Linked DNA regions of Tamandua tetradactyla. The protein of the gene in region 1 binds, or shares a complex with, the protein of each later gene. Links are inferred from orthologs where the notes say so. Each region holds a gene or a part of one and is shown in the gene's direction. Other genes may lie near its edges.

The links.
Region 2: the proteins of GCC2 (region 1) and RAB6A are in contact, whole or in part, in a crystal structure (PDB 3BBP), measured with the Homo sapiens proteins. The link is inferred for Tamandua tetradactyla from reciprocal best matches to the Homo sapiens genes GCC2 and RAB6A. Residues at the interface, in NP_852118.2 of Homo sapiens: Thr1585, Ile1588, Leu1589, Glu1591, Gln1592, Leu1595, Leu1596, Glu1599, Arg1602; in NP_942599.1 of Homo sapiens: Lys15, Ile46, Gly47, Ile48, Trp67, Arg74, Phe75, Ser77, Leu78, Ser81, Tyr82, Asp85.

The regions. Positions count from the first base shown.
Region 1 is NC_135343.1:73,135,563-73,151,493, forward strand, and holds the start of GCC2 (GRIP and coiled-coil domain-containing protein 2), read left to right. Parts: upstream 1-9,025; 5' UTR 9,026-9,114; coding exon 9,115-9,120; intron 9,121-9,531; coding exon 9,532-9,588; intron 9,589-10,763; coding exon 10,764-10,848; intron 10,849-11,986; coding exon 11,987-12,054; intron 12,055-15,931. UniProt on the Homo sapiens protein: Golgin which probably tethers transport vesicles to the trans-Golgi network (TGN) and regulates vesicular transport between the endosomes and the Golgi.
Region 2 is NC_135334.1:72,219,296-72,235,226, forward strand, and holds the start of RAB6A (ras-related protein Rab-6A), read left to right. Parts: upstream 1-7,697; 5' UTR 7,698-8,188; coding exon 8,189-8,258; intron 8,259-15,931. UniProt on the Homo sapiens protein: The small GTPases Rab are key regulators of intracellular membrane trafficking, from the formation of transport vesicles to their fusion with membranes.

The DNA.
Region 1 (15,931 bases):
ATAAAGAGAGAATGATAAAATAAATGTGGTAAATTATAAATCTGGATGATGGATATATGGGAATTCTTTGGGCTATTTTTACAACTTTTCTCTTAAGACTAAAATTACTTTAAAATAAAAAGAAAAAGGAACTTCAGTTCATAAGTGGAAAAGAAAATCCAGGATAACAATATTTCCTTCTATCCAAAAGGTATGTTGTGGCTGTTTATCAAAACTTTTCTCACTGTATTGTGAAACTAATGGTGTTTTGGAAAAGCAGTATCTGATTCACAAATCCTAGATGAGCACTAAGTAAAACTGAGGGTTGTAGAGTAGGAAGAAAGTCACCCATTTGCATCCATTAGCAGGCTGCCCCAGGGCCTAGCCAAGTCCCTGCCAGGACCTCTCTCTGTTATCCAACCTTTCAGACTTAATCATTGTTGCCTTTAGACTCTTCACATCTGTTTCCTCCCCCACCCATAGTTTACTTAGAGTCAGAGTTTTATAGAATCTCACAGGTCATGTTCCATGTGCCTTTTAAAGTGATAATTACATAATCTGATAAACAAAATATGTAGAAGCTTAGCCTGACTTGAAATTATTATAAAGAATGTATTTAAGAAATTAAACTATAACACTGGCTGTCAAGAGCATGTTCACACGGGATACTTTATTATGATACTATTTAGGTAATAATGTTATGTTATGGGAGAGAAAGCATTATACAATGGGCCAAGACTCTTTAGTCGTGATCTTGACTAATTCGATCTTGCCACACTAATCATTTTAAGGTTGAGCAAGTACTGAAACCTCTGGCCTGGGTTTCTTAAGTTGCATAAATAAGGAGGCAAGAGGTAAAATCAGACTAAAGTCACTTCTATTCTAAGTATTAACTATATTAAAAGACATGATATTTAAAAAAAAAAGCCACAGGACTTCCAGAGAAGATGGCGGCTTAGTAAGACGCGCGGGTCTTAGTTCCTCCTCCAGAAAAACAACTAAAGAAACAGAAACAATACGAAACAGCTCCCGGAGCCACGACAGAGACCAAAAAGACAGCGTACCCCATTCTGGAACCGCTGAACGGGCAGGGAGAATCCGCTGCGGTGAGATACCCGAGGGGCGCGCGTTTTCCCGGCCGGGGTGGCTGGCAACTGGGGTCCCCTCCACGCACGTGGCTCCCCGGTCTGACTGGGAACGTTGATAGCAGGGCCCTCCCACCACACTTGGCGTCTCGGGCCAGCTGGGCAATTTGGACCGGCACTCCCCCAAGCCGCGGCGACCCCCTTCCACGCACGGTTTCCCGGGCCGACTGCGAGATTCGGATTGGCAAGTTAAAGGAGCCACAGCATCTTTTACTGGTGGGCCCCGCAGACAGACGAGCGCCACGAGCGCCACCTACTGGGCAGGAAAAGAGAAACAGAGCCCAGAGATTTCACAGAAAAACCTTTCAACCAGCCGGGTCCCACACCCAGGGAAATCTGATCAAATGCCCAGACACCAGCAGAAAATAATGGATGACTCTCGGAAAATTGAAGATATGGCCCAGTCAAAGGAACAAACCAATAGTTCAAATGAGATACAGGAGCTGAGACAACTAATGCTGAATATACGAACAGAAATGGAAAAACTCTTCAAAAACCACATCGATAAATTGAGGGAGGACATGAAGAAGACATGGGCTGAACAAAAAGAAGAAATAGAAAATCTGAAAAAACAAATCACAGAACTTATGGGAGTGAAGGACAAAGAAGAAAAAATGGAAAAAACAATGGATACCTACAATGGTAGATTTAAAGAGACAGAAGCTAGAATTAGTGAACTGGAGGATGGAACATCTGAATTCCAAAAAGAAACAGAAACTATAGGGAAAAGAATGGAAAAATTTGAGCAGGGGATCAGGGAACTGAATGACAATATGAAGCGCACAAATATACGTGTTGTGGGTGTCCCAGAAGGAGAAGAGAAGGGAAAAGGAGAAAAACTAATGGAAGAAATTATCACTGAAAATTTCCCAACTCTTATGAAAGACCTAAATTTACAGATCCAAGAAGTGCAGCGCACCCCAAAGAGAATAGACCCAAATAGGCATTCTCCAAGACACTTACTAGTTAGAATGTCAGAGGTCAAAGAGAAAGAGAGGATCTTGAAAGCAGCAAGAGAAAAACAATCTGTCACATACAAGGGAAACCCAATATGACTATGTGTAGATTTCTCAGCAGAAACCATGGAAGCTAGAAGACAGTGGGATGATATATTTAAATTACTAAAAGAGAAAAACTGCCAACCAAGACTTCTATATCCAGCAAAATTGTCCTTCAAAAATGAAGGAGAAATTAAAACATTTATAGACAAAAAGTCACTGAGAGAATTTGTGACCAAGAGACCAGCTCTGCAAGAAATACTAAAGGGAGCACTAGAGTCAGATACGAAAAGACAGAAGAGAGAGGTATGGAGTAAAGTGTAGAAAGAAGGAAAATCAGATATGATATATATAATACAAAAGCCAAAATGGTAGAGGAAAATATTATCCAAACAGTAATAACACTAAAAGTTAATGGACTGAATTTCCCAATCAAAAGACATAGAATGGCAGAATGGATTACGACCCAGCAATACCATTGCTGGGTATCTACTCAAAGGACTTAAGGGCAAAGACACAGACGGACATTTGCACACCAGTCTTTATAGCAGCATTATCTGCAGTTGCAAAGAGATGGAAACAGCCAAAATGTCCATCAGCGGACGAGTGGTTAAACGAACTGTGGCGTATACCTACGATGGAATATTGTGCAGCTTTAAGATAGACTAAACTTATGAAGCATGTAGTAACATGGATGGACCTGGAGAACATTATGCTGAGTGAGTCTAGCCAAGAACTAAAGGACAAATACTGTATGGTCCCACTGATGTGAACCAACATCGAGAATCAGCTTGGAATATATCATTGGTAACAGAGACCAGCAGGAGTTAGAAACAGGGTAAGATAATGGGTAATTGGAGCTGAAGGGATACAGACTGTGCAACAGGACTAGATACAAAAACTCAAAAATGGACAGCACAATAATACCTAAGTGTAATGTAACTATGTTGGAACACTGAATGAAGCTGCACCTGAAATATAGTTTTTTGTTTGTTTGTTTGTATCTTTTGTTTTTGTTTTTTTTCTTTTTCCTTTATATATATGTATATTTTTTATTAGTATTATTATTTTAATTCTCTTCTCTATATCTTTTTCTGCTGTTTTGCTAGTTCTTTTCCTAAATCGATGCAAATGTACTAAGAAATGATGATCATACATCTATGTGATGATACTAAGAATTATTGAGTGCATGTGTAGAATGGAATGATTTCTAAATGTTGTGTTAATTTCTTTTCTTTTTTTTGATTAATAAAAAAAAAAATTTTTTTTTAAAAAAAAGCCACAAATGGGTGGGCCACTGTGGCTCAGCAGGCAGAGTTCTTGGCTGCCATGCCAGAGACCCAGGTTCAATACCCAGTGCCTTCCGATGAAAAAAAAAAAAAGACATAATATTGCTTTGACCCACATCAGTACAATGGGTAATGTACTTTTTCCATGTTTATGTTAAGAACTTTAACTGAAACTCTAAATAGCCAGTGATTGAGTATCCTGACTTAAAACTTGCTAGTGTGGAAACAGAAAAAAAATCAGCTTTTCTCTGTATTTTCCAGATGTCCTACAATGAACCTTTTATGTTTATAATTGGAAAGAAATGTATTCATGAAACAGGTCATGATCAGGCTCATTAAGTTAATTTCAAGGATATGAACTGATCTGCAGTTCAGAACACATGAAATGTAAAGACGATGTTTCTAAAAATCTAAATATGGCCTTTGCTATAGTTTCCAGAATATCAGGAAACCTCAGAGTGTCAATGAGTAATTCATAAATATCCTGTAGTTTATTTAAGAGTATTAATCAAAGAAAGTAGGAAAGACATTAAATATGTTTAAGGGATTTCAGTGCTTGCTAATGAAATCAGGAAATAAAAGACTTAAGAGGAACAACAGAGGCTCTCAGATGGTCAAGGACATTATGCCTGCCTCCACTGTCTAAAGAATACATTTTCTGCCCGACAACCAGAAAGGTGGTGAATTGGAAACGTGTAGGGCAGTTGTGGGGCAGCCTAGAGAAGCTCTTAAGTGTGCACTGACCCTTGTCTCCCTGGGAGTCCCCATGCTGCTCTACCTGCCACTGCAACTCTCCCCTCCTGTCAGATGGGCATGGATAGTGTTACTAAAACCAAGGCAACAGAAGATGGGGTGAGGGTAAGAAAACCACAAGGAAGAAAAGAAAGGTTCCTTGTATCTGAAGTGTGAGAAAAACAATTCTACTGCAAGAACTTCAAGTATTATGTAGCTGTTCATGCAGTTGCAATCCTAGAATGTAACTACTTCTGACTATGAGTCCCTGAGAAACTTTTACAGGACTGGAATGAGCATAGTATATCTATTTAACTTGCTATTTTATTGCAAGGGATTTTCTTTCAAGTTATTAATCGAAATAGGAATATATACAAGTTTCTCTTTAGTCTGGAACTACTTTGCATATCATTAGAATAAAGTAATATGGACTACTAAAAACAGTGCACACTTAAGGATTTAGAGTTATTACCAGGCCTTAATACCCCCACACACATATACATTATATATATATATACACACATACATACATACATAGAAATATATACACATATATTCACATATTATAATCACATTCAAGCTCTTCTTGCTTTCAAATTCTTAAATTCCCTACCTAATTTAGTCCTTAGCTTACTATCAGACACTAACCTCACTGTGTAAGCCTGTCAGTGCACCATAAGGGAGGTTCACAAAATCAAAGCATTTATTTTTTTTTCCTCTCATCTCAGAAGTAATGAGTCAGGGAAGCTAAGTAGGAAGGACAGCAGCCTTCTTTTATTAAAAATTTACTGAGAGATGATGTTATCTATTCTCAGTTATGAGGAACAAAATTTGAAGGGATTGGGGAGCTTAGAGGAGTTGAAAAAAGAATAGGGATGACATGCTAATAGCTTTACAGTGCAGGCAGTCCAGTCAGTATTTATGAGGTTTCATTGACATATTTGAATTATCAGGTCAAGGTTAAAAAAAAAAAAAGGTATAAAAATATTCTAGGAGTGATTGTTGTACTAAGGCAATATTCATACCTCTCCTCAAATTGGTATCCTTTAAGTGGGTGCAAATTAGATGGATTGGAAGCTATACAGCAAGTTCTGGCATGCTCATTACTTTTGGGGCTCCACCATTAATAACTGTTTTGAGCTAAAAGTCTCTGTGACTGATAATTTCGATGATTAGAGCCTCTGATGAAGCCTCTCAGGAAGGCTCTACCTGAAAATATCCTTGGGGTTTTAGAGTCACTGTCACCCAGGTATGGCTACAGGCAGAGTCCTTTTGAAAAGCAACTATTAGCTTCCTGAAGAGTTCTTATTGAAACTGAATGCCTGACCCATGTAGGCCTGTGAAATCTGGCCTGATAACCCTATTTGGGGGTGGCTTAACTGAGACTATGACTAATGATGTGAGAGGGGCCAAAAAACAGCTTTGCCTGTCAAATGAAAATGGAATATTCAACAACGCAGCTGGCCTGGCTCCACAGACATCCTGCTTTACATGACAAAGTGGCAGCTCTCAACGGAAAACTTTACTCAACCATATGAAGCAAAGCCACTGGCTTGATGGAGCTGTTAATTCACCCAGACTCTCCTAAATTCTGAGCCTGGTTCATTGATGGTTTTGCTAAACTGAAACAAGATTATTTCCACTGGACTACAGCAGCTGTTAAATCTCAATGCCAGCTATGCAAAACTGAAAATGGATGTGGTCACCTCTACTCAGTGGACAGAACTCAAGGCAGTTCTCAGTTCTGCCCAATCCTCTCTGACGGATCTTCTCATAAGTATACTGACTCTTGGGCTGTTGCCAATACCCTGTTTGATCTGCCACTTGGAAAAAAACTAGACTGGCAGATTGAAGACACCCATCCTAAGGCCATGAGCCGTGGCAACAAATTACAGTTGCTGATCGAACTTTCTGAGGCTCTCATGTAGATGTCCATGGTTAAGGACCTGTTCTCTACTGAGACTGAATGGAAGCTGCTGATGGAGTCTGTACTGTTCAAATTGCTACTATATGATATGATATAAATAATATCTATATGATGATATAGACATGAAAACTCATTCACCATCAAAGACAAGGCACAAAGTGAAGGACTGCCTTCTCCTGCAGAGGCTACTGCTGTACACCAGATTGGTGACTTCCTGCTGAAAGTTGATCTGGTTCTAAGTTGGCAGGCTAAAAGCGCACTGGAACTTTGATCACCTCCTCCCTCTGGCTATGGGTAGTACCTCATCACTGCTGACACTTTTTCAGGTCAAGGTGGTGCTGTTTCAGAACAGCCAGCCAACCGAGGTCACAGAAACTAATATGTGCCATGTGTTTGGTTTCCTGGACAGTTTGCAGTCTGACATCTGTATACCTTTTTTTCCACAAAAACTATTCAACAATGGCTTGATATTCAAGGTATTCAATGGACCTTGCATACACTCTGTTAACCACAGGTATTTGGTATTGCTGAGTGTTGAAACAGCCTCCATAAAAATCAACTCAGTTTAGTCTCCAGTATCTTAGATCAGCTAGAAGTAAAAACCTAAAATTGTGGAATTATAACCCATTCAAACTTTGAAACATGTTCTACAACTAATTGTGGTGCTGTGCTTTGAAATTTATTGTTTTTGTATATATATTATTTTTTACAAAAAAGAAAAAAAGTCGATTGAGATGATTAAAAAAATATTTATGCATTCTAGCCTCCTATATTCTGGAGCAACTAGAAGGAAAAATCTGAGAAGATGGTATGGCAGCCCATGACAAAATCTGGAATCCATCCTGTAACTACTTGTTGAAGAGTGCTTTGAAAACTATTTCTTTTTTCTTTGTTTGCTTTGTATATATGTTATATTGTACAATAAAAAAGTTTTAAAAAATCAACTCAGAAAGATTTGTAACTGCCTCCCTCACCACCTCCTGGCCCATATGCTTTACTAAGGCAATTCAGTGAAAGCGCCTGTCCCCACAAAGAGATTATCTCCTCTCAGCTGCTTCCCAGGTAATGATTAGAATGAACAGTTTGGCATTTTCTTAAAAAGATAAACTATACATGGTAAAAGACCCAGTAGTCCCACTCCTTGGTACTTACACTAAAGTTCTGAAAATTTACATTCACCCAAAAACTTACATATGAACGTTTACAACAGCTCTATTCATAATCACCCAAAACTAGAAACAACCCATATGTTCTGTAATTGGTGAATAGATAAAAAAAACTATGGTATATCCATACAATGGAGTATTACTCATTTTTAATATTGAGAACAGATTAGATTTACCAATCTGTCTTAATAGAGATTTATCCATATAGATTATTGACAAACTTGATGACTCTTAAAGGCAATATGCTGAGTGAAAGCAGTCAGTTTCATAAGGTTACATTCTCTGTGTTTCCATTTACATGACACTGTTGAAAAATCAAAACCATAGTGACTAAGTATAGATCAGTGGTTGCCAGGGATTAGGGTTAGGAGGAATTTATGGCCACAATGGATTAGTATGAGGGAGTACTGGGGAAGATGGAACCGTTCTGTGATCTGACTGAGCTGGAGGTTACATGACTGTATACATCTATTAAAATCCATAGACTGTATGCCAAAAGAAAATTTTACTGTATATCAATAGAAAAATTAAAATTTTAAAAAGGTGTGAAAAACTATAGTTTTCAAAACGTCAAATCATAAAAAAAAAAGGCTGTGTAAATATTCCAGATTAAAGGAATCTTCGCGGCAATGTCTGCCAACAGCAATGAGACCTGTATTCTGCTGCAATCCTATTCAGAGAAAGGGAAAATGGTATCACTAAACCAAAGTATTAAACAGAATCCCAAATCTCACTGATCGTAAAGCTTAGGTCATATACCCACCACTGAACCATCAATCCCTGTTAAACATCGTGGGTGCAACCCATTAAAGGAGAAGAGTAGATGTTGGGGGGGGGCACCTCAATGCCTACAGGCTTGGTCTTTCTCTATTGGTTATATAACACTTTCCCCTATTTAATAATAATTAACTACCACTCATTTTATACAAACCGTGTTTTCCTCCTTCCTCAAGGCCCCTAGAGAGCCAGGAAATGCTTACTTTGGGGAAGACTGCACAACCCAGACCTTCTCAGTCGTGGTGGGCGCCCAAACCCCATGTGGCCTATCCTGAGAACCCCTCACAAGCCGCTGTCAGCCTGGCTTTCCAAAGAGAGCGAGGTAACTGGCAGACAGCTCTGGGGTACCTGTCCCGCGCCCCCATTTGCCATTTCACTCAATATCCTCATCCACCCTACAACTTCTACAGATAGGAAAACGAGGCCTCGAGGGGGTATGTGCCCAGAGTTCCACAGCTAATCAACTGCAGTGCAAGATTCAAACCCGCCACGGCTTGTGACACCAGATCCCACATTTCACAACTCTGCCTCCTCCCCGCCGCCGCAGCCACGGATAAAATGTCAGTTTGGGAGGTGAACGTCCGGGTTTCAGCGACGGCTCCTCGGCCGATCTGCTACCTCAGCCTTCGAGTATGTCTCACCCAGGTGGATACCGTCTACGTCCCTAGCTTAGAGCCCGACGCATTTTTTAAGTGCGGACCAGACGCTAAGGAGGCAGTGGCAACCTCGCAGGGACTCAGCTGAGAGAAATCCGGAGGCGCCGCCCAAGCCCGGCCAGCCGGGTCGGCACCCACGCAGCCGGAAGCGTCCCGGCCGCCAGGGGCCGCGGGGCGGGGCGCGCGGGAACCGCCTCCCGGATCCAGGAAGCAGGAGCAGGGCGCCTGAGCCCGGGGGCGGGGCCGGGGCGCGGCGGCGGGCAGCGCGGCCCGTGGCCATGGCAACGCGGGGAGCTGCGCGGGCCCCGGCAGAAGGCGGCCTTTGACCTGCAGTTGCAGCTACGTCAGAGGCGGCAGCCGACGGCGCCGCCGCCGTCCCCGCTGCAGACGGAAGTGAGGCGGCGGCGGCGCGCGCGGTGGGGTGCGAGGCGCCGCGGGGTTGGCGATGGAGGTAATTCCTTGAGGGGCGTAGGGGCGCGCGGGACGCGCGGGGCGGGGGCCTGGGACTGACCCCCTCCGGCCCCGCGCGTGGCCGCGCCTGCCCTGCGGCTGTGATTTCGGGTTGGAGGTGGCCCCCGGTGGGGAGCGTGCATCCTCTCCCTCCGCGCCCCGAAGCCCCGCGCCGCGCCTCTGCCCATCTCCACCTTCCCGAAACACTTCCCTTGTGATTACAGTCCCCTGGCCGTGCTAGTGCGTGCGGCTTGCCGCAGCCGCTCCCTTCCTCCCTAATGCTCTTTTTCGCGGAAAGGATTTCTCCTTGCTTGATTCCGCGAGAAGAGTTTATCCTGTAGGGTTCCACGCGTTCCTTCTGGCGTTAGGAATAGAGTTATCCTAATCACCTGGGTTTGATTTTGTTTTGCAGGATCCTGTTCAAGATGGGGTGGCTTCCCCCGCCCCCCCTGGAACTGGGAAATCTAAGGTAAAGAGAATACTTGACTAGCAAACACCCTGAAGAGTGGAAGGATGATGAACTTGGAAAACTTTGGCATAGGCAGAGAGTGTGGCCTACTTAAAAGAAATAGTTTTTTCTGAAGGATCTCAATTTTAATTTACGCAATTATTTACCTTTCTTTCTTTCTTTTTCTTTTTGCTAAGTTTCCTGGTAGGAAAAGAGTTGGTTATGTGTTTACTTCCTGTCCCTGGGTCAGGATTGCTGAGAGATCCTGCAGTTTTTCAAACATTAAACAAATCAATCTGACTTATGAGGTTCTATATGAGTGGAAAGAGCGGTATCATTAGGAAGGAGTCAGGGAAGACCTGGTTGGCCTCTGTACCTTCAGTGGCTTTGGGCAAGTTACTTAATCTTTCTGGGTAACGGTTCCTAAAGTGTGAAGAGAACATTGATTTGGGTGATTTGTATGGCCCTACAGAATGTTAAGGAGTCAGTATTTCTAAAAGATAATAGTGGTAAGCACAGTAGCCAAGTTTTTTACTTGACACTGTTTCAGGCACTTTCCTGAGCATGCTGTCACTTCATTTAAGCTTCCTTAATGATGCTTAAGGAATCATTTAAGCTTCCTTAATGATGCTTAAGTGACAGATACTATTGTTATACCCATTTTACAGGTGAGAAAACTAAGCCCACAGGTCTAAGTTTTTTCAAGTATTAAGGCCTAATTTTTGGTTAAAGCTTAAATGTAACTTAATTCATCTCATATCATAGCTATGCTTAAATTTTCAAGTGGCCAAAGACCTCTTTCACCCTTGAATAGAATAAAATAATTTATAACTCTAAAAAACCTTAAGGAGCATTAGTCCCAACCCCCTGATTTTACCATTAGAGAAATTAAAACCCACAAAGTTTCTTAACCTATGACAACAGTATCTTTATAGAAGATACTGTTTACAGTATCAATAATTTGTTTTGTAATTTGTTACAATAATTTGTTTACATTTTATAGTAGTTGCTTAATAATTATTGAGTTGAAATTGTATTTGCTAATTTTAAGAACTATGGAGTAAAGTACGGTGTTTGGTTGGCAGGAAGATTTATTGTGTAGAATTTTTTATTTTTAGGCGGACATTGTATTTCCTTTTTGTGGACTAGTAGAAACATGATTTATACCAGATTGGTAACATCACTACATTTTTCAGCTGGAAGCATTGCCCAAGGAAGATCTCATCAAGTTTGCCAAGAAGCAGATGATGCTAATACAGAAAACTAAATCAAAGTGTACAGGTATTTGGTTGGAAGTACTAATTTTGACCACAAACTGTATTCATGGTTTAGAACATTAGTTTTTTAATAGAATGTTGACTTGTTTTGTTTTACAGTGATTCCAAGCACAAACCTAGTTGATGTGCTGGAATCTGTTACTACTGAAAATTCTAGCCATCTTGACTTTGATGTTTTTATCATCTCATAGCTCTAAACTTCAGTTACCTTTGAGTTATTAAAGTCAGGGAGGAAACATTTTGTTGAAGTTAAACATTTTTTTTCCTGTATGTGGATTCTAGATTCTTCTAAGTCAAGTTTTTTTCTCTAAACGGTTAGTTGAAACGTTAGAAACATAAAGGTTGTGAACTCTAACAAATAAAATGAGGCCTCAAGTAAAGTAATAAATAAAAGATTTCCATTCCTGGAATCATGAAGTATGTTTATTGGCTGAAGTTGATCGAGTCCCTATATTTTCCTTTTCTTTTGATCTCAAAAGGAAAAATATTTTCATATCGTTTTTAATATTTTTAAGTATGTCTTAATATATTAAATAAATATTTAATATCCCAATAATTTATGAATGCTAACTGCTCATCCTAAAGCCAAAACTTGTTTTGTAGTAGGAAAAGATCAAATTATTTTTTGGGAGTTGGAGGTTGGATCAGTTTATGATAAAGTGGTTGATTTATTTTGAAAGCTGTCTAAGGGTCCAGACCCAGGCTTGAGTTAATAAAATACTCAGATGAACATTTGTGCTTAATATGAGATTAGTTGTTGTTTTCAGATTATACAAAAAGAAGTATTTATAGGTGAAATTATATGATGTCTTGGATTTGCTTCTAAATTGTCAGGCTGGGTAAATAAAGGGGCAGGGAGGAGGAAATGAGTACCATTTTGGATGAAACAAGGCATGTCATAATTGCAGAGAGCATAAAGAGTAACCATTCTATTCTCTTTACTTTTCTGTATGTTTGAAGTTTTCCATCATAAAAAGGAATATTGTTCTATGGGTGAGGTTAATAATTTCTCAAAGCATCCACTTTTTACATTGGTTTTAAGTTATAGTGGTTTTATTTTTCCGACTATACTTATCATTTTAGCCAGTGATCATTTTCTTCATTTCTGAGCTGGATTTTTTTTTCTTTTAATAATTGTTTAGAATTGGAGAAAGAAATTGAAGAACTCAAATCAAAGTCTGTGGCTGGAGAAACTGATGATATCATTAAGGTAATAAAATAAGTTGTGAATATTGCTTTAATTTTTTTTTTTTTAAGTTAGAGGAAATGTCTAGCAAGAGTTTAATTTCCTTGGAAGTTGTCAGCCTGCAAGAGTGCTGCCTCCCTTCCAGTCCCTGTTCTACCACTTATTCTCTGGTCTTGGTTAAGGCTTTTACCTCTCAGGTTAATAGTAGAAAGAGAGGGTTCGATGACCTTTAAGTCCCTTCCTACTATAAATGAGTATTCTCTCTTCTCTTCCTCCCACACACTAATTATGATTGGCACTTAAGTCTGTCTTGCTCTTCTCCATCTCCCTCTAAAAACCTAGTCACTCTCAAGGTTTTGATGGTTATTTTGGGGCTGATAATCTCTAAATCTATATCCCTTGGTGTGACTAGTCACCCAAATTTCACAGTTATGTTTCTAGCTGCTTAGGGGGAAAAGCATCTTCACATGGTTCTCATGTCTTCCCCTCCAACTCAACATGACCAAATCCCCACAACCATCTCAATGTCCTCCCACCCTCCTCCTCTTGTTGTGTCAGTGGTACCACGGCTTTTCATGTCTTTTTTTTTTTTTTTTTTTTTTTTTTTTTAAAGGAAAGACAGAGAGAAGGAAGGAAGGATAGAAGGAAGGAAGGAAGGAAGAAAGGGAAACATCTTTAAACACTTTCTTGTTTTATTGTATTTTGTTTCTCCGTTTTTGTTACATGGGCTGGGGCCGGGAATCGAACCGAGGTCCTCCGGCATAGCAGGCAAGCACTTTGCCCGCTGAGCCACCGCGGCCCACCCTTTTCATGTCTTTTTATTTTAGAAATAGTTTGACTTTCCTCTTTATCCTCTACATGTGTCTGTCACCAGGATGTTACTCCAGTTTTTCCTCTTTCTCCATTTCTTTGGCTCTATGTTGAAAAACGTCACGCTTGACTTATTTTAATACTCTCCTCTCCGGACTTTGTTTCTCTTTTTGGTCTTAGATGCTCCTGCCTGGTTACTAAATATACAGATTACTGTATTTATCTTATTATTCCCTGTTTAAGAATCTGAATTGCTTATTCTTATTTCCATGCTCTTAATACTGACTAAGATGTTTTTTGATTCCCCCACCTAGCCAAAGCTTCCTTAAATTTCCTTTTGTTTTTCAAAGCTGTCAAATAAATATTTTCCTGCTCTTTCATAGTATTTATATTTTGAGTCTTATTAATTATCCTTTGATTACATTTTCTTATTTTCTCATTAGGGGGCTGACATCTTGTGAGCAAAGGATCATTGAGGGACTCCCAGGAAATTACTACATGGGGTCTTTAAATCCATATGGTTATCCTCCCTTATTATTTTCTATTTTATTTAGTTACAACAATACATGTAGTTTGAATGGTATGTACAGATACCGTTTGGATTCATGTACTGATTCATTTAAGTATTACTGAATTCATAGTGTGTTTATTTGATTATTTATATTTTCTTAATCTGTAATAGCCAAAATCTAACTATATGGTGGTTAAATATGCTAACTTCAGAACCAGACTGCCTGATTTAAATCTTCAAAATCATGCTTTGCTGCTTACCAGCTATGTGACCTTGGCTAAATTTCTTAACGTTTTCTCTGTGACTCAACTCCTTCATCTGTGAGGTGGAGATAATAATAATATCTGCTTCCCTGAGGGTTGTTGTGAGGATTAAATGAATTAATACATGTATAGCACTTTTGGGTTTGTCATATAAGTACTCAAAGATTGTTATTGTTACCATGTATTATATGTGTGGGGGGTATTTTATGTATGCACACACATAGATACGTGCATACGTACCACACACACACACACACATACACTACCAGCAGTCTTGACGTTGAATACAGATTCTTTTCTGATTTTGCCCTTAATAGGTAGTTTTGAAAGAAATACTTTTGACAATTTCATTTCATGAGGACATCCAGATATTTATCCTCTATTTCCTCCTTATCACTAAACAATATATTCTCCCATTCTGTCAAGACTGCTCCTATAAATGAGAAAAGAAAATTTCTCCAAATTAATCAACTTTTCCTTTCAGGTTACTGAATTACTAGTAAAGTGTCTGACTGCATAAGTCTCAGAAAGTAAACATTTGGAAGGATTAAATGAGAATAAAATCTTTGATTTCCAGTCCTTTACTATAAAATTACTTAAGGGACTAAGTGGAAGAGGTGTTCATCAACTATTCTGCTGCTACAAATAAGTTTTCATTTTTAGAAAAATCATATATTGCAATACAATAAGTTATCTTCATCTTTGAAAAACTGACAAGAATTTCTTGCGAAATTGTAGCTCTTTGGTGGGAAAGTACACTGGAAACACCCACAATAGATTTGAATACAGAATTTTATGTTCTTCAAATAACATGTTTAAAATTTATGACTTTAAAAGTTTTAATTACAGTTAAAATTTCTAATAGTCATCTAATAGTGCATTTAAATACAATCTAAAGTTTTATTGCAAACCTGAAAAATTTTATTTTTAAATAAGATAAATAAGAAACCATATTACCCATATCAAAATTTGAGGTGCATGGTATTACAATGAATTTTGGGGCTTCTTAATGTGAGAGGAAGGTGAAAATTTATGTGAAAATATTGGAATTTCTTACACATTGGAATCTATACTGTGTCACTCTTGTTATTTTCTCTAAGATGAAATCAAAACTAAATTTCCTAAGAAAGATTGTCCGCCTTGTGTTTCTAATCTTTAAGGTATTTTATAGGTGTTTTCAGTTAATGGCCTCTGTATATCTTCTGAAATTAGTTAAATTAGGCTTTCTCTGGTATTTATCAGTCTGAAGTTTATCCTGCAGTGACAAAATTTATTTAAAACTCATTTTAACTAAAATAAAAACATGCACTAAATGCACTTGAACTAAAGTAAAAATGATTTAAAAATAATACTAAATGATAATTTATAATCTTAGCTTCCAGAAATTATTTCTGTATTTCTAATTAATATACTTACATTAACATTCCTTGATGTATCAATTTTAGACATTTAGACAGTTTCTATTCCTGTTATGGCAGATGAAAATTTAGTTATCTTTTATTACCACTCCTACTTTCCGAATGGCCAAGCGTATAAAATAGTGTATCTCTTACATTTTTACCTGGATACCTGGCTTCTGAAGCCTTCTGTCCTCCTCCACTAATTTGGTCTGTTCTGTGCATTTGCTAAATAGTTCTCCTAGGACTGCCTTTTCATGATCCAGTAAATTTTGAAACTACTGTCCTATATTGGCCTTCCTGATAGCTAAGTCACTCTCTTGGTTAACTATCTTATTTTGGCATAACATTCCTCTGTAGCATTCCTAAGGATGTGGAAGAAGTTAATTTTTGTGTCCTGTGTTTAAAAATGCCTTTATGATTACATTTGATAGCTATAACTTGAAATGGATGAAGTTTTCTACCCCTTTTATTTTTATTTTCTTAGAAAATGTTGGGTTTTGTTTATTTGTTTACTTTTACGTAAGTTCAAAGGTAGGTAATTCTAGGGCTGGTTCAGTCTCATAGGGGTGTCATCAGGACCCAGATTCTTTCCATTTTTGTGCTCTTTCATCCTTAGCCTTTAGATTGTCTATACATGTGACACATGATGGGCTACTGCAGTTCTCCTGTTATGAATGGATATTAAAACAGCCAGCTCAAAGAGAGGGACATTTTTCCCTCTGCATCACTTTTTTTTTTTTTTTATTAAATGTACCAACATACACACACAAGCATTCTACATATATAATCAGTAATTCATAATATCATCACATAGTTGCATATTCATCATCATGATTTCTTAGAACATTTGCATCAGTTCAGAAAACGAAATAAAGAAACAGCAGAAAGAAATTCATACATACCATACCCCTTACCCC
Region 2 (15,931 bases), on another chromosome or scaffold:
TTATTCCTAGGTATTTTATTCTTTTAGTTGCAATTGTAAATGGGATTCGTTTCTTGATTTTCCCCTCAGCTTGTTCATTACTAGTGTATAGAAATGCTACAGATTTTTGAATGTTGATCTTGTAACCTGCTACTTTGCTCTACTCATTTATTAGCTCTAGTAGTTTTGTTGTGGATTTTTCCGGGTTTTCGACGTATAGTATCATATCGTCTGCAAACAGTGATAGTTTTACTTCTTCCTTTCCAATTTTGATGCCTTGTATTTCTTTTTCTTGTCTAATTGCTCTGGCTAGAACCTCCAACACAATGTTGAATAATAGTGGTGATAGTGGACATCCTTGTCTTGTTCCTGATCTTAGGGGGAAAGTTTTCAATTTTTCCCCATTGAGGATGATATTAGCTGTGGGTTTTTCATATATTCCCTCTATCATTTTAAGGAAGTTCCCTTGTATTCCTATCTTTTGAAGTGTTTTCAATAGGAAAGGATGTTGAATCTTGTTGAATGCCTTCTCTGCATCAATTGAGATGATCATGTGATTTTTCTGCTTTGATTTGTTGATATGGTGTATTACATTAATTGATTTTCTTATGTTGAACCATCCTTGCACACCTGGGATGAATCCTACTTGGTCATGATGTATAATTCTTTTAATGTGTTGTTGGATACGATTTGCTAGAATTTTATTGAGGATTTTTGCATCTGTATTCATTAGAGAGATTGGTCTGTAGTTTTCTTTTTTTGTAATATCTTTGCCTGGTTTTGGTATGAGGGTGATGTTGGCTTCATAGAATGAATTAGGTAGTTTTCCCTCCACTTCGATTTTTTTGAAGAGTTTGAAGAGAATTGGTACTAATTCTTTCTGGAACGTTTGGTAGAATTCACATGTGAAGCCATCTGGTCCTGGACTTTTCTTTTTAGGAAGCTTTTGAATGACTAATTCAATTTCTTTACTTGTGATTGGTTTGTTGAGGTCATCTATGTCTTCTTGAGTCAAAGTTGGTTGTTCATGTCTTTCCAGGAACCCGTCCATTTCCTCTAAATTGTTGTATTTATTAGCATAAAGTTGTTCATAGTATCCTGTTATTACCTCCTTTATTTCTGTGAGGTCAGTAGTTATGTCTCCTCTTCCATTTCTGATCTTATTTATTTGCATCCTCTCTCTTCTTCTTTTTGTCAATCTTGATAGGGGCCCATCAATCTTATTGATTTTCTCATAGAACCAACTTCTGGTCTTATTGATTTTCTCTACTGTTTTCATATTTTCAATTTCATTTATTTCTGCTCTGATCTTTGTTATTTCTTTCCTTTTGCTTGCTTTGGGATTAGTTTGCTGTTCTTTCTCCAGTTCTTCCAATTGAACAGTTAATTCCTGCATTTTTGCCTTTTCTTCTTTTCTGATATAGGCATTTAGGGCAATAAATTTCCCTCTTAGCACTGCCTTTGCTGCATCCCATAAGTGTTGATATGTTGTGTTTTCATTTTCATTTGCCTCGAGGTATTTACTAATTTCTCTTGCAATTTCTTCTTTGACCCACTCGTTGTTTAAGAGTGTGTTGTTGAGCCTCCAGGTATTTGTGAATTTTCTGGCATTCTGCCTATTATTGATTTCCAACATCATTCCTTTATGGTCCGAGAAAGTGTTGTGTAAGATTTCAATCTTTTTAAATTTGTTAAGACTTGCTTTGTGACCCAGCATATGGTCTATCTTTGAGAATGATCCATGAGCACTTGAGAAAAAGGTGTATCCTGCTGTTGTGGGATGTAATGTCCTATAAATGTCTGTTAAGTCTAGCTCATTTATGGTAATATTCAGATTCTCTATTTCTTTATTGATCCTCTGTCTAGATGATCTGTCCATTGATGAGAGTGGGGAATTGAAGTCTCCAACTATTATGGTATTTGTGTCTATTTCCCTTTTCAGTGTTTGCAGTGTATTCCTCACGTATTTTGGGGGATTCTGGTTCGGTGCATAAATATTTATGATTGTTATGTCTTCTTGTTTAATTGTTCCTTTTATTAGTATATAGTGTCCTTCTTTGTCTCTTTTAACTGTTTTACATTTGAAGTCTAACTTGTTGGATATTAGTATAGCCACTCCTGCTATTTTCTGGTTGTTATTTGCATGAAATATCTTTTCCCAACCTTTCACTTTCAACCTATGTTTATCTTTGGGTCTAAGATGTGTTTCCTGTAGACAGCATATAGAAGGATCCTGTTTTTTAATCCATTCTGCCAATCTATGTCTTTTGATTGGGGAATTCAGTCCATTAACATTTAGTGTTATTACTGTTTGGATAATATTTTCCTCTGCCATTTTGCCTTTTGTATTATATATATATCATATCTGACTTTCCTTCTTTCTACACTCTTCTCCATACCTCTCTCTTCTGTCTTTTTGGTTCTGACTCTAGTGCTCCCTTTAGTATTTCTTGCAGAGCTGGTCTCTTGGTCACAAATTCTCTCAGTGACTTTTTGTCTGAGAATGTTTTAATTTCTCCCTCATTTTTGAAGGACAATTTTGCTGGATATAGGAGTCTTGGTTGGCAGTTTTTCTCTTTTAGTAATTTAAATATATCATCCCACTGTCTTCTAGCCTCCATGGTTTCTGCTGAGAAATCTACACATAGTCTTATTGGGTTTCCCTTGTATGTGATGGATTGTTTTTCTCTTGCTGCTTTCAAGATCCTCTCTTTCTCTTTGACCTCTGACATTCTAACTAGTAAGTGTCTTGGAGAACGCCTATTTGGGTCTAATCTCTTTGGGGTGCGCTGCACTTCTTGGATCTGTAATTTTAGGTCTTTCATAAGAGTTGGGAAATTTTCAGTGAAAATTTCTTCCATTAGTTTTTCTCCTCCTTTTCCCTTCTCTTCTCCTTCTGGGACACCCACAACACGTATATTTGTGCGGTTCATATTGTCCTTGAGTTCCCTGATACCCTGTTCAAATTTTTCCATTCTTTTCCCGATAGTTTCTGTTTCTTTTTGGAATTCAGATGTTCCATCCTCCAAATCACTAATTCTATCTTCTGTCTCTTTGAATCTATCATTGTAGGTATCCATTGTTTTTTCTATCTTTTCTACTTTGTCCTTCACTTCCATAAGTTCTGTGATTTGCTTTTTCAGTTTTTCTATTTCTTCTTTATGTTCAGCCCATGTCTTCTTCATGTCCTCCCTCAATTTATCGATTTCGTTTTTGAAGAGGTTTTCCATTTCTGTTCGTATATTTAGCATTAGTTGTCTCAGCTCCTGTATCTCATTTGAACTATTGGTTTGTTCCTTTGACTGGGCCATATTTTCAATTATTTGAGCGTGATCCGTTATCTTCTGTTGGCGTCTGTGCATTTAGACAGATTTCCCTGGGTATTGGATCCAAAAGTTTGGAAGATTTTTCTGTGAAATCTCTGGGTTCTGTTTTTCTTATCCTGCTCAGTAGGTGGCGCACGTGGCACACGTTTGTCTGCGGGTCCTACCAGTAAAAGGTGCTGTGGGACCTTAAACTTTGGAAAACTCTCGCCGTCCTGGGGGTTTGCTAGCCGAAGCGGCTTGAGCCAGCCCGGGGTCCGAACGCAGGGAGGGTTGCTGGTCGCCGCAGCCAGGGAAAGAGCCCGTCCGAATTTCCTAGTCGGCCCTGGGCAACAAGCGTGGCGGGAGGGCGCCAGCGGCAGCGGCCCGCCCGAGAGAGTGCACGTTCCCCGGGAGTCACAGGTTTGGAAGGGGCCTCCCCCACCCGTCACCGTTCTCCGCGGCCTGGGGGTTTCCGATCCAGTTCTCTCAGTTGGTCCGGGGGGCTGCGTGTGGTGTGGGCGCCAGCCGCCTTGGTTTCAGGGGACCGCCTCTCCAATTCTCCCAGCCGGCCCGGGAAGGGGGAAGGGAGTAACTCCGGCCGCTTGCCACCCCACCCGGTAAGGCCCGCGTGCCTCGGCGATCTCACCCGAGCTGCTTCTCTCAGCCAGCCAGCCGTTCCAGGATGGGGTACGCTGTCTTTTTTATCTCTGTTGTGGCTTTCGGCGCTTTCTGTATCGTTTCTACTCCTCTAGTAGGTGTCCTGGAGAAGAAACTAAGATCCGCGCGTCTTACTAAGCCGCCATCTTCCAGGAAGTGCTTCTTTTTTCTTTTTTTTGCATGGGCAGGCACCAGGAATCGAACCCGGGTCTCCAGCATGACAGGAGAGAACTCTGCCTGTTGAGCCACCATGGCCCACCCTCCTAAGCATAATTTTAAGTAGGCTTAAGCTATCCTTTGCAGGAATGATTTTCATACAGACAAATTCCAAGATTAAGGGCTTGGCCTATTGATTTGGTTGTCTCCACTGCTTGTGAGAATATCAGAAATTCTCCAGATGGTGAGGCTGAATATAGAATATATCCTCCTTTCTCCTCAGTCCCCCTAAGAGGATTTTGCAAATACTTCTTTATTCACTGCGTAAATTACTCTGGGATATATCCAAGCATCACATTAATCTGGAAAAATCAAAAATATCTCATGGCTTATTCAAGATTCCCTGTACTTATGATGTTCAACTAAACTGATAATACTAGTTAAATTAGATAATGTGCTGCCCAAAATATAAATTCTGCACCAAATTAACATCTCTCCCTTTGGTCTCACACAGAAGTTGAAGTTTTAAAACATGGACGATATTATTCTTTATCCTGTATTCTGATCTACCCCAGTTCTATACAGATCAGCTTCATTCATATTTCTATTCAAAGCTAGATCCCCTTTTCAACTTTTAAAACAGTACCTTAATGGGGTGCTGCTGATTTTCATAGCTTCAGAGCTCGCACTCTGAGTCTCAGGTGTTACATAAATACCCGAAGTTTCTGGGAACAATCATGTTATATACAAATAGCTCAGTAGATCAGATTTTAGAAATAACAGTTACAATTCAGGAGTTGTATATATGTGACTGCTGAAAGAGCTTAAAATCTAGGATCCTTTACAATTCCAATCTGGTAACCTCTGCTCTCAACTTCAGTTCACCACATTTTTATAATATAGTTAGTCCACATGAGTGAGGCATGCTAATATTTGTCTTCTTGTTTCTGACATTTGAACATAAGGTCCTTAGGTTCATTCACATAGTTGTATGCCTCACAGCTTCATTCCTTCTTGCAGCCACTCAGTAGTCCATTGTATGTGTAAACCACAGTTCCCCTTCCATTCCTCAGATATCATACCCTTAGGCCACTTCCATCCGTTGTAAATCACTAACACTGCTGCCATAAACACCAGCCAGTAACTACTTTTAAGGGCAATTTAAAAAAAAAATCAAATGTTCAATTCTGACTGTTTTTATCATTCCATTCAAAATACATTTGCACAAATTCTTTTGCCATTTAATGGAGAGAACAGTAAGAAGTGAATAAATTTTGACAGAAAAGGAGGCTTGTGGATATAGCTGTATTCTAGATATATTCTGAAAATTTCTGTTCTGTATTAGTTTGTTAAATCTGCTGGGATGCAATATACCAGAAATGGAACGGCTTTTAAAAAGGAAATTTATTAAGTTACAAGTTTATAGTTTTAAGGCCATAAAAATGTCCAAACGAAGGCATCCAGATAAAGAAACCATGACTCAGGAAAGGGCCGAAGATGTTCAAGCTTTCACTGACAGCTGGGAAGATACCTGGTATTGTCTGCTGATTCTTTTCCTTGTGGTTTCAAACGGCTTCTCTGGGGGTGTTTTCTTTCTATATCTCCAAATGTCTGTGCTGGCTCTGGAGCTTTTTTCAAAACGGTACCCTCTTAAAGGATTTCAGTAAGTGACTTCACCTCGAATTGGTGACCACACATCTATTGAAACCACTTAATCAACAGGTCCCACCCACAAGTGGGTGGGCCACACCTCCATGTAAAGAACTTAATCAAAAGATCCCATCCAACAATATTGAATCAAGATTAAAGAACATGACTTTTCTGGGGTACACAACAGTTCCAAACTGGCACAGTTTCCTTCCCTTGATTTATTCTAGGTCAGCAATTCATCCCTGGGCTTGAAAAGGAACTTCTTTGATACTGCCATTTCTATAGCTAAGTAAGTAATAACCCTGGAATAATGAGAAAATATATATATAAATGTATTTTGCGAATGGTAAGACACTATACGCACATGTAAGGATTTATTATTAACTTGAGAAATATTTTTGATACCAGTTTTTAAAAGTAACCTCTTCAAAACACAGGGATTACTCTTTCATACTCTATCACCACAGTGTGATGACATTTGGAGGAAGTTGTGTGGATGCCAAATTCTCTAATTCCGAGATTCTTAGCCTTTTATTTATCTTTTATTAACAGACTTTATTTAGAACAGTTTCAGATTTACAGAAAAATTGAACACATCATAGAGTTCCTGTATACCATACGCACTATACAATTTCCCCTATTTTTAGCATCTTACATTAATATGGTCTATTTGTTACCATGAGTTAATACTGATACATTGCTATTAACTAAAATCCATACTTTATTCAGATTCCCTTCGTTTTTATCTAATGTCCTTTTTCTGTTCCAGTATCCCATCCAGGATTCCACATTACATTTAGTCATCATGTCTCCTTGGGCTCTTCTTGGCGGTAACATTCTTTGTTTTTTAGATCACAAATCCAGGTGAAAGCTATGGATTCTCTCTACCGAAAAATGTACATGCTTTCAATGGCTAATTTAAGGGAGGTCCACTTACGGTGATTCAGAAGCCCTGCTTAGGGGGAAAGGAAGAGCTTTAAAATACCTACTTCGCAAGCTCTGCCTCTAATTTGTTGTGTGTCTCTCCGCAAAGGCGTTATTCTATATGGGTCTCAATTTCACCATCTGTGAAATGAAGGATTTGGTTTACATGATACTTAAACTCCTCTAGCACGGTGGAGTGTAATGTTCAAGTTATCAGCATCTGAGGACGATAGATCGACCCGTTAGGCCAAGAAAGTGCGGCCAAGAAAGTGCGCTGGCTTATCAATAAAGACACCACACAGATACAATGGGAGAAAATGAGAAAACCTGGGTTCTACTTTCCGGCTGTGCGGATTTTGCAAGCCATTTCCTCTCTCTGGACTTCAGTTTCTTCATTTGCAAATCGTGGAGGCCTTGTTTCTGGCAGTTATGAAACTCCTTGCAGCACCAATAGAGAATGTACCTAGTTAAGTGCCAATGTGAGGAATTATGATGAGTAAGAAGATGGAGAAAGTGGGTGGATACATACATGGGTGAAAGGTTGACACGAGGAATGTAAGGCAGGGATGGGAACAGAGGAAAGACGAACACAGCCTACACTTTAGTGCTCTCCGACCCCACCCGTACATCTCTGGGGTAATCCCTACTTCCGTTCGGGCCCCGCCTCTACCCCCTACTTCTCAACTCTTAGGGACAGACCCGCCACACTCTGCATGGCCGCCACTGCGCGCCTCTTTTCACAGCGCGAAGGCCGCGCGCGTTCTCGCACCGCCACCTCATTCTCGTCCCTGTCGGTCCTTGGCCTCTTCCGATTGGCTCACTACGAGCGTGACGTAAGCACTCCATATTTCACCCTTTCCTTTTCCTTTGGCTCCGTCCTGCCCCTCCTAGCTCCTCCCGACGTGCTGGAAACTTAACTTGCCCTAGTCTCCGCGGCGCCGGAAACCGGGAGAGCTGGCTAAACCAGGAAGGCGATGGTCGTGGCGCGCACGCGCACGCACTCACGCACGCACGTCGGCGGGCGCCGGGCGGCAGGCTCGCGCCCGGGCTTCTTCCGCGCCGCGCCACAGGCTCGCGCACTTAGCAGGTTGGGCTGCGGCGGCGACAGCTGAGGGAGTTGAGGCGCTGTGTGGGAGAGATCCCAGACGCGTCTGAGGCTCTGGTTTTGCCATTCTTCTTTTCTCTGACCCCACTTTCCGTGCCAGGTACTGAAGAAGGGAAGGAAGTTAGCCCTGGAAACCTCGAGTACACCCTTGGTTGCTTCGACACCCGCCCTCCTTCCCTTCCGAGCCACGGGCCTCGCTTGGTGCTAGGCGACTCTGCTGGGAGGCGGCGGCGGCGACGGCTGCCTGTCTGTGGGGAGTCCTGCCCTCCAACCTTTCTCATCCGCCGGGCCCTGCAGGGGCCAAGAGAGCTGGGCGCCTGCCCTTCCTCTCGCTTTTTTCCTCAGCCGGTTGGAGCATCGTCGGTCCGGAAGGTCTCTGGGCTGAGGCGGCGGCAGCTCCTCCGGCTCCATCATGTCCGCGGGCGGAGACTTCGGAAATCCGCTGAGGAAATTCAAGCTAGTGTTCCTGGGGGAGCAAAGCGGTGAGTGCGCGGCTCCCCCCACTCTTGGCACCTTGCGGCGGCTTCCCGTCGCCGCCCCCAGTGCGGTCCTTCAGTCCGCGGAGGCTTCTTGCCGGCCTCGCATTCATGCTCTGTTCCATCCCCCCGGCCCTTCCCTGTCTTCGCCAACCCCTCTTCTCCCTGGCTTCTCCGTCCCTTGATCTGTCGATCGATTTTACTCTTCTCCTTTGGCCCTTCTGACCCCGACTCTGCTGTCTGGTTCTTCACAGGCCTGCCCTCACCTACCGATCTGCCCTTCCCAGGCCTTACCCCGCCCAGCCTCTGCCTCCTGTCCATCTCTTTCTTCCTCTGGTCTCCGTCTCCCTTACCCCAGCCCTTTTTCTTGAGCCCCACCCCTATTCCTTGCACTCTGCCGGGCTCGTCGCCTCTGTGATGGCCACCCCTGGAAGCCCCGCTCCTGGGAACAGGCCCTTCTCAGACTTCGGCAAGGAGGGTGGTATCTGGGCGTTGTTTTCCCCTGGGGATTGGCTTGGGAATTGAGGATCTTTATGGAAGGTGGGAAATGGTGATGGTAGAAAATTCTTGGATGCTTTTTACCGTGGTGTAGAATTAATCTGTATTATAGCGGAATTATGTCTGAATTGGAAGCGTTTTGTGAATTGGGTGGTCTGCGTGAGGGATGGCGGCGGGCGTGGAGGCTTTTGCTCCTTGAGTTGGGTTCTGGCTTGTCGGAAAAAACCTCATTTTCTTCTCTTGACTTGAATCACTGACGATTCTTTTGGCAATGTTGATGCTTTTCCGATCTCTGCCAGATGCTATGTCATGATCGTTTTACTTGGAATTTTTCACATTCAATCTCCCCTTTTTCTCGTTTCAACATGAAGCGCTCTCTTATTTTTCTCATGGTGGTGCATACAGGAATGACTGGGGAAATGTTAATTATTCATTTCTTCTTGTATGTTTTCCAGTCATATATTTAGGATTTCTTCGAGAGGTTTGAGAATAAGGAATATCTTTGTTTTGTAGGATTTCCTTGGGGGTGGGGAGCGTTAGGGAGTTATCTAAATTAAATTTGTTATACTTTGGGTAAATGACTTTTATGCCTAATGTTCCATAGTATTTGGTGAATGAAACTAATGTCATTTAACCTGATCAAAGTTCTGCTCTTGCTGTAGTTTGTATTAGAAGAGATCCTAATTTTGTGAAGGTTGTCTCTAAAATTATTTCTTCTAGTAATTCCAATTTTATGCTGTTATGCAAATGTTTCGAATACAAATTTCCTATCTGCAGTATGCAAATTTGTTTAGAGATTATTACCCTCTTTTGTTTTTCTCACACTGTTCATGACCATCATTAAAATTCAAATTTGAGTGAGAAGTTCCTCCCAAATCATCAAACATTGGGTATCTACTAGGTGACTTAGGTTATATTAGAGAAAACATTATTTTGCCTAGAAGGCAGGAACCAATACAAATTCAGAGCTTTTATTAACTAATACTGTGAACTATTTAAACTAATTTATATGACATTAAGGTAGGCTAGTATTAGCTGCAAAATTACTTCCACTTGCACCTGAACAATCATTTTTCTCTTTCATACATAGATCTTTTTCCCCTTGCCAAGGAAAAATAAAGCCTACTCTTTGCTTATAGATTTTCTTGAAGTACGCCTTAAGTTTTTTTTTAAGATGAGTAACTTGGTAGAACATAAGGAATTGATTCTGATCCAGGCATTTTATGGCAATATCAGGACAGTGCCGTACATGAAAAATAGTCTGTAGGTCAACATTGGTAAATAGGATCTAAGTGCTTATTTTTCAGTTTAGGGATATTATTGCCTGCCTTGTGTTGTGATGCATCTATTTAGTTTGCATGAAAAACTCTTTAATCTCTTTCCTAGGATGGTTTTAGCATGTGTAGAGATCTGAATTTAAGTGTATTTATGTTTTAATTCACATTGTAGAGTTTCATGGCTTCTCATTTATATTTTCTTAAAACCTTTGATAATCTCATCTCCCCTCCCCTCCCCTCAGGTAATTCCTGGAGTCATTTTTTTATTTTTGTTTTTACTTAGATTTAATTTTCCTTTTTTTTTTTTTAACATGAGCAGGCACTGGGAAACAAACCTGGGTCTCCAGCATGGCAGGTGAGAATTCTGCCACTGAGCCACTGTCACACCACCCTACTTAGATTTAATTTTTGGACAGTTTGAGATTTACAGAAAAATTGAGAAGTTAGTACAGAGAGTTCCCAGATGGTATACCTCCCACCCCCACCTCCCAGTTTCCCCTGTTATTAGCATCTTTTCCTAGGATGGTACATTATTTAAAATTAAAGAACCAGTATGGATACTTTATTAACTAAAGCCCCTAGTTTATTCACATTTTCTTAGTTTTTACCGCTTGTTTTTTTTTTCCCCTCAGGATCCCATCCAAGCTACCACATTACATTTAGTTATATCTCCTTGGTCTCCTCTTGTTTTGGTTTGGGGATGGGGTGGGGTGGAATTGGGTTTATATGCTTTTTACTCTTAATTGTGACAGTAACTACCTTTTGAGGCTACTGTATAGCTAAATAGTGCATCCAATAGCTTTGACAATGAAAAATTGATCTTTCCTTTCTTGGGCAGTGTTTGCAATTTTCTTATGCATTAGGGAAGGTCTATAGAATTCGTGCCATCTTGATGTAACTCTTAAGAATTATTTATTATCAGGTCTGTTAGATTTCACATTTCAGCTTCCAAAGACTAATCTACGGCAAAGCCTTGTTTATTTCCTTAATGGCATTTACCTCACTTATACTTATCTTATTTTTAAATCTATTTCCCATAGCAGAATGCAAATTTCATGAAGATAAAAACTATTATCTTTCTTATTGATTGTGTCCCCAATGCCTGATACAGTGCCAGGCTCATAGTAGGTGCTCAGAAATATTTGTTGAATGATGGTTGAATTTAAAAGTAACCAAGGCCAATTAAAATACTAGCAGCCTGTATTATTATTTGCTCTGGTGAAGGTGTTGTCTGTATTTTTTCCTTATGGAATAAGGAATATGCAATAATATTTTTTTCTTTTTTTTTGTAGCTGTGTGGTGGGGGTTCACATTTCATTCTTTTTGCATGTGACTAGCTCATTATTGCTGCATCATTTGTTGAATTTTTTTCATGGGTGGAGGGAGAAGTGCATACAGTAACATTTTGTACTTGCATCATTTGATTGTAGGCATTGATATTCCAGATGCTGGGGAGTTGGGGAAGGGAGTGGAGCAACAATAACTCATATGCCTAACTTTTTCTCTAAGAAAAATAAGACTGACCTGGAGTTTGCTTTTTTTTTCCGAGTTGAATAAAATTCGTCTTGCTTTGTTAAAACCATTGTTAAAATTTATTATTTTTGCTATTAGTAAACATGTAGAAGTATGTCAGATGATATTGAAGATGTGTTTGTAGAAACTGCTCTATATAATTTAGTGAAAATTTAAAGTACTATGCTCTATAATGAAAATGAATTGTTTCAGCACCTCAGTCCTCAGATTGATGACACATCAGCCTTGGAAATCTTTGTATAAACTCTTATCTTTTATCTTTCATTAATATCCCTGGTTTAATAAAGGAATGGTGAAATATACAGATTGAATCTGAAGTTCACTTGAGGAGGCTCTTTCGTTCCTATATCTGACTATTGTCTTGAAATGCCGAGGCACTTTTAAGAATATGTTCCTGGTTTACAATAGATTTTGCTACACACAAGTGTCTTTGATTACAAATTAGATAATGTTATGGCAGAGAGAAGCACATAAATGTATTACCCGGCCAAGTACTCTTTTTTTTTTTCCCTTTATTTTGCATTTCCAGCCAATTTGCATCAGCTTTTTTGAATTGCAACATGCTAGGTGGGGAAAATGTCTTTCTGTCAGTGATCCAGTGGTACTGAGTGTTGTATGGGCTAAATCAGTGATTCTTAAACCTTTTCTTCGTAGGCCTGATTAAATAACTTATACCTATCAATATTGACAGTATTAAAAATGAACTGATTTTGGTAATGAATGATGGAGACGGTGGCACAACATTGTGAATGTAATAACACTATTGAATTATGTATATGAATGTGGTTAAAAGGGGAAATTTTGCGTTGTATGTATGTTACAAGAATAAAAATTAAAAACAACATAGGACTGTATAACATAGTGAACCCTATTATAAATGGTGGACTGTAGTTAATAGTACAATTATGAAAGTGTTCTTTCATGAATTATAACAAAGGTACCATACTAATGCAGGGTGTTAATAATAGGGTGGTAATTGGGATCCCTGTATTTTATGTATTTTTTTGCATATTTCTGTAAATGCACAACTTCTTTACCCAAAAAATATATGTATTTAAAAAAACAGATTAGTAAAATGTTGAAAATTTTAAATACTTAATTCATTAAACAATAGCAGTAATTACATATTTATTTTGTTGTTTTTCTTTTTTTCACATGTGAACGTAATTATTTATGAAAAAGAACTGTTTTCCGAACAATTTTAGTGAGAGTTGCATTGTTTTGCATATTTACAAATCTCTTTAATATTTGACTTAATATTAATTAAACCAGCTGGATATATAGCTGGTTCTGTGTTCAGTTTGTTGTGATAGCGCATATCATGTAACCTCTGGGAAACTCTACTGTACAACACATAGGAGTATAAGAGTGAAAAATCCAAATAACATCTCAATGATATTATGCAACTGCGTTGAACTTTGTAGATCTCCTGAAGGGGCTTGTTGATCCCCTGCTGTTTGTGGACCACACTTTGAGATCTGCTGGGCTAGATGATATAAGGCTACTTTGTGGCTTCTTGCAGCTTCATGTTGCAAGTGAGAACATTCCGGAGAAATTTTTTCCATATCTTGATTTTGAAACTTTTAAACAGTAAGGCTAATGGTTAGAACACAAAATCTGGGTTTCATATTTTAATATTGGGCACTGACCTTGGGCATATTACTTCTTCTTATGCTTCAGTTTCCTTTTCTATAAAGTAGAGATGATAATACTCTCATACAGAGTCTTTGTGAAGTCTTTGTGAAGATAAGTGCAAAGCATTTAGAAGAGTGCTCAGTAAATATTATTTTACTGGGAAGTGCTCAGTAAATATTTTAATTTAGCAAATGTTTACTGAAAACTGTGCTCAGTGGTTTGATAGTTTATATTCCATCAGGAAAAAATATATAATATCTAATTCAATATACCATGATGAGTGCAGCTGCTTTTAAAAGTAGAGTTTAAACATGCACGGAGAAGAGTGACAGGAGCTTGGCATTTCAGGGGAGGCATATTATAAATATAACTATTAAGCATCCATTATTTAAATTAGGTGTATTTTTTTCCCATATGCCACCTTATTATTAACATCTTATAATAGTGATATATATTTGTTGTAATTTATGACAGAACATTGTACTTGTACTATTCACCACAGACATCATTCACTGTAGGACTTATTATGCTATATGGCTCTGTGTTTTAATCCTCTAGCTTTTCTTCTAGTAACATACACAGTCTAAAACTACCCCTTTTATCCACATCATACACATAATTCAGCACTGTTAATTATATTCACAGTAGTATGCTGCCATCACTTGTATCCATTTCCAAACATTTACAATTAACCTAAATAGAAATCCTGCACAAATTAAGCATCAGCTCCCCATTCTATCTCCTGGTAATCTATATTCTAGATTTTAACAATGAATTTACTTATTATACTTAGACCATATTAGTGAGATCATGCAATATTTACCCTTTTGTGTCTAGCTTATTTCACTGAATATACTGTCTTCCAGATTCATCCAGGTTGTCACACGCATCAGGACATCATTCCTTCTTACTGCTGAATAATATTCCATCGTATGTATGTACCACAGTTTGCTTATCCATTCCTCGGGTGATGAACACTTGGGTTGCTTCCATCTTTTGACAGTTGTGAATAATGCCACTGTGAACATCGGTGTGCAAATGTCTGTTTGTGTCCCTGTTTTTAGTTTTTCTGGGTATACACTTAGTAGGAGGATTGCCAGATCATATGGCTGTTTTTTACATAGCTTGCTGAGGACCTGCCAACTGTATTCCACAGTGGCTGCACCATTTTACATTCCCAACAGTAGTGAATAAATATACTATTTCTTCACATCCTTTCCAAATGCTTACAGTGTTCTGTTTTTTAATAGTGGCCATTCTAGTAGGTGTGAAATATCATCTCATTGTGGTTTTGATTTGCATTTCTGAAATAGTGATGTTGAGTATCTTCATGTGCTTTTTAACCATTTGTATTTCCTTAAATCTTTTGCCAATTTCAATTGGATTATCTTTTTATTGCTGAGTTGTAGATTTCTTTATTTATTCTGGATATTAAACTCTTATATGTAGTTTTCAAATATTTTCTCCCATTAAGTTAGGTAGCCTTTTCACTTTTCTGTTTTTAATGTTTTTTTTTTAATTTTGAAATATACATACAAAACAGCAATAAATTCCCAAGTGCATTTTAACAGGAAGTTACAGAACAGATTTTAAAGTTTGATATGGGTTACAGTTCCACGATTTTTTGTTTTTTCTTCTGCCTGCTCCAAGATACTAGAGACCAAAAGAAATATCAATATAATGATCCAGTCATACTCATTATATGCCTCCTCTTTTTTCTTTTTTTTGTGAAAAATAACATCCACAAAACAATAAATTTCAAAGTGTGTATATATATAATATATATATATATATATATATATATTTTAACATGGGCAGGCACTGGGAATTGAACCCGGGTTCTCTGGCATGGCAGGCAAGCATTCTTGCCTGCTGAGCCACCGTGGCCCGCCCTATTTCAAAGTATATTGCAACAGTTGGTTGTAGAACAGATTTCAGAGTTTGGTATGGGTTACAATTCCACAATTTTAGGTGTTTACTTCTGGTTGCTCTAAGGTATGGGAGACAAAAAGAAATATCAGTACAGTAATTCAGCACTCATACTTCTTTGTTAAATAAACCCTACCTTTTCTGTATAACTCTCCACCATAACCTTTGATCCTTTTCTCACTCTTTAGGGGTATTTGGGCTATGCACATCCTTACTTTTTCATTTTGAAAGGGACTTTCGATAACATGGGTTAGGGGGTTGAAACTAGTTGATGTTCTGGAGAGGCTGGCCCCTCTTCATTTCAGTACTTAACCTGTCCAGGGACCCATCTGGAGGTTGTAGGTTTCTGTAAAGTTACCCTAGTGCACGGAACCTTTGTAGAATCTTATATAATATCCTAGGTGTTCCTTAATATTGGCAGGAATGATTTAGGTTGGGGGTTGTCAAGTTATGAAGGTAGCAATGTCTAACTGAAGCCTGTATAAGAGTGACCTCCAGAGTAGCCTCTCTCAGCCACTGATATCCTATTTGTTACACTTCTTTTCCCCCCTTTGGTCAGGATGGTATTGTTGATCCCATGGTGCTAGGGCTAGGCTCATCCGTGGGAGTCATCTCCCACATCGCCAGGGAGACTTTCACCGCTGGATGTCATGTCCCATGTAGGGAGGAGGGCAATAGTTTCACTTGCAGAGTTGGGTTTAGAGAGAGAGAGAGAGAGAGAGAACATTGGGCAACAAAAGGGTATTTTTGGAGGTAACTCTTAGGCGTAGCTATAGGTAGGCTAAGCTTTTCTGCTGCCTACATAAG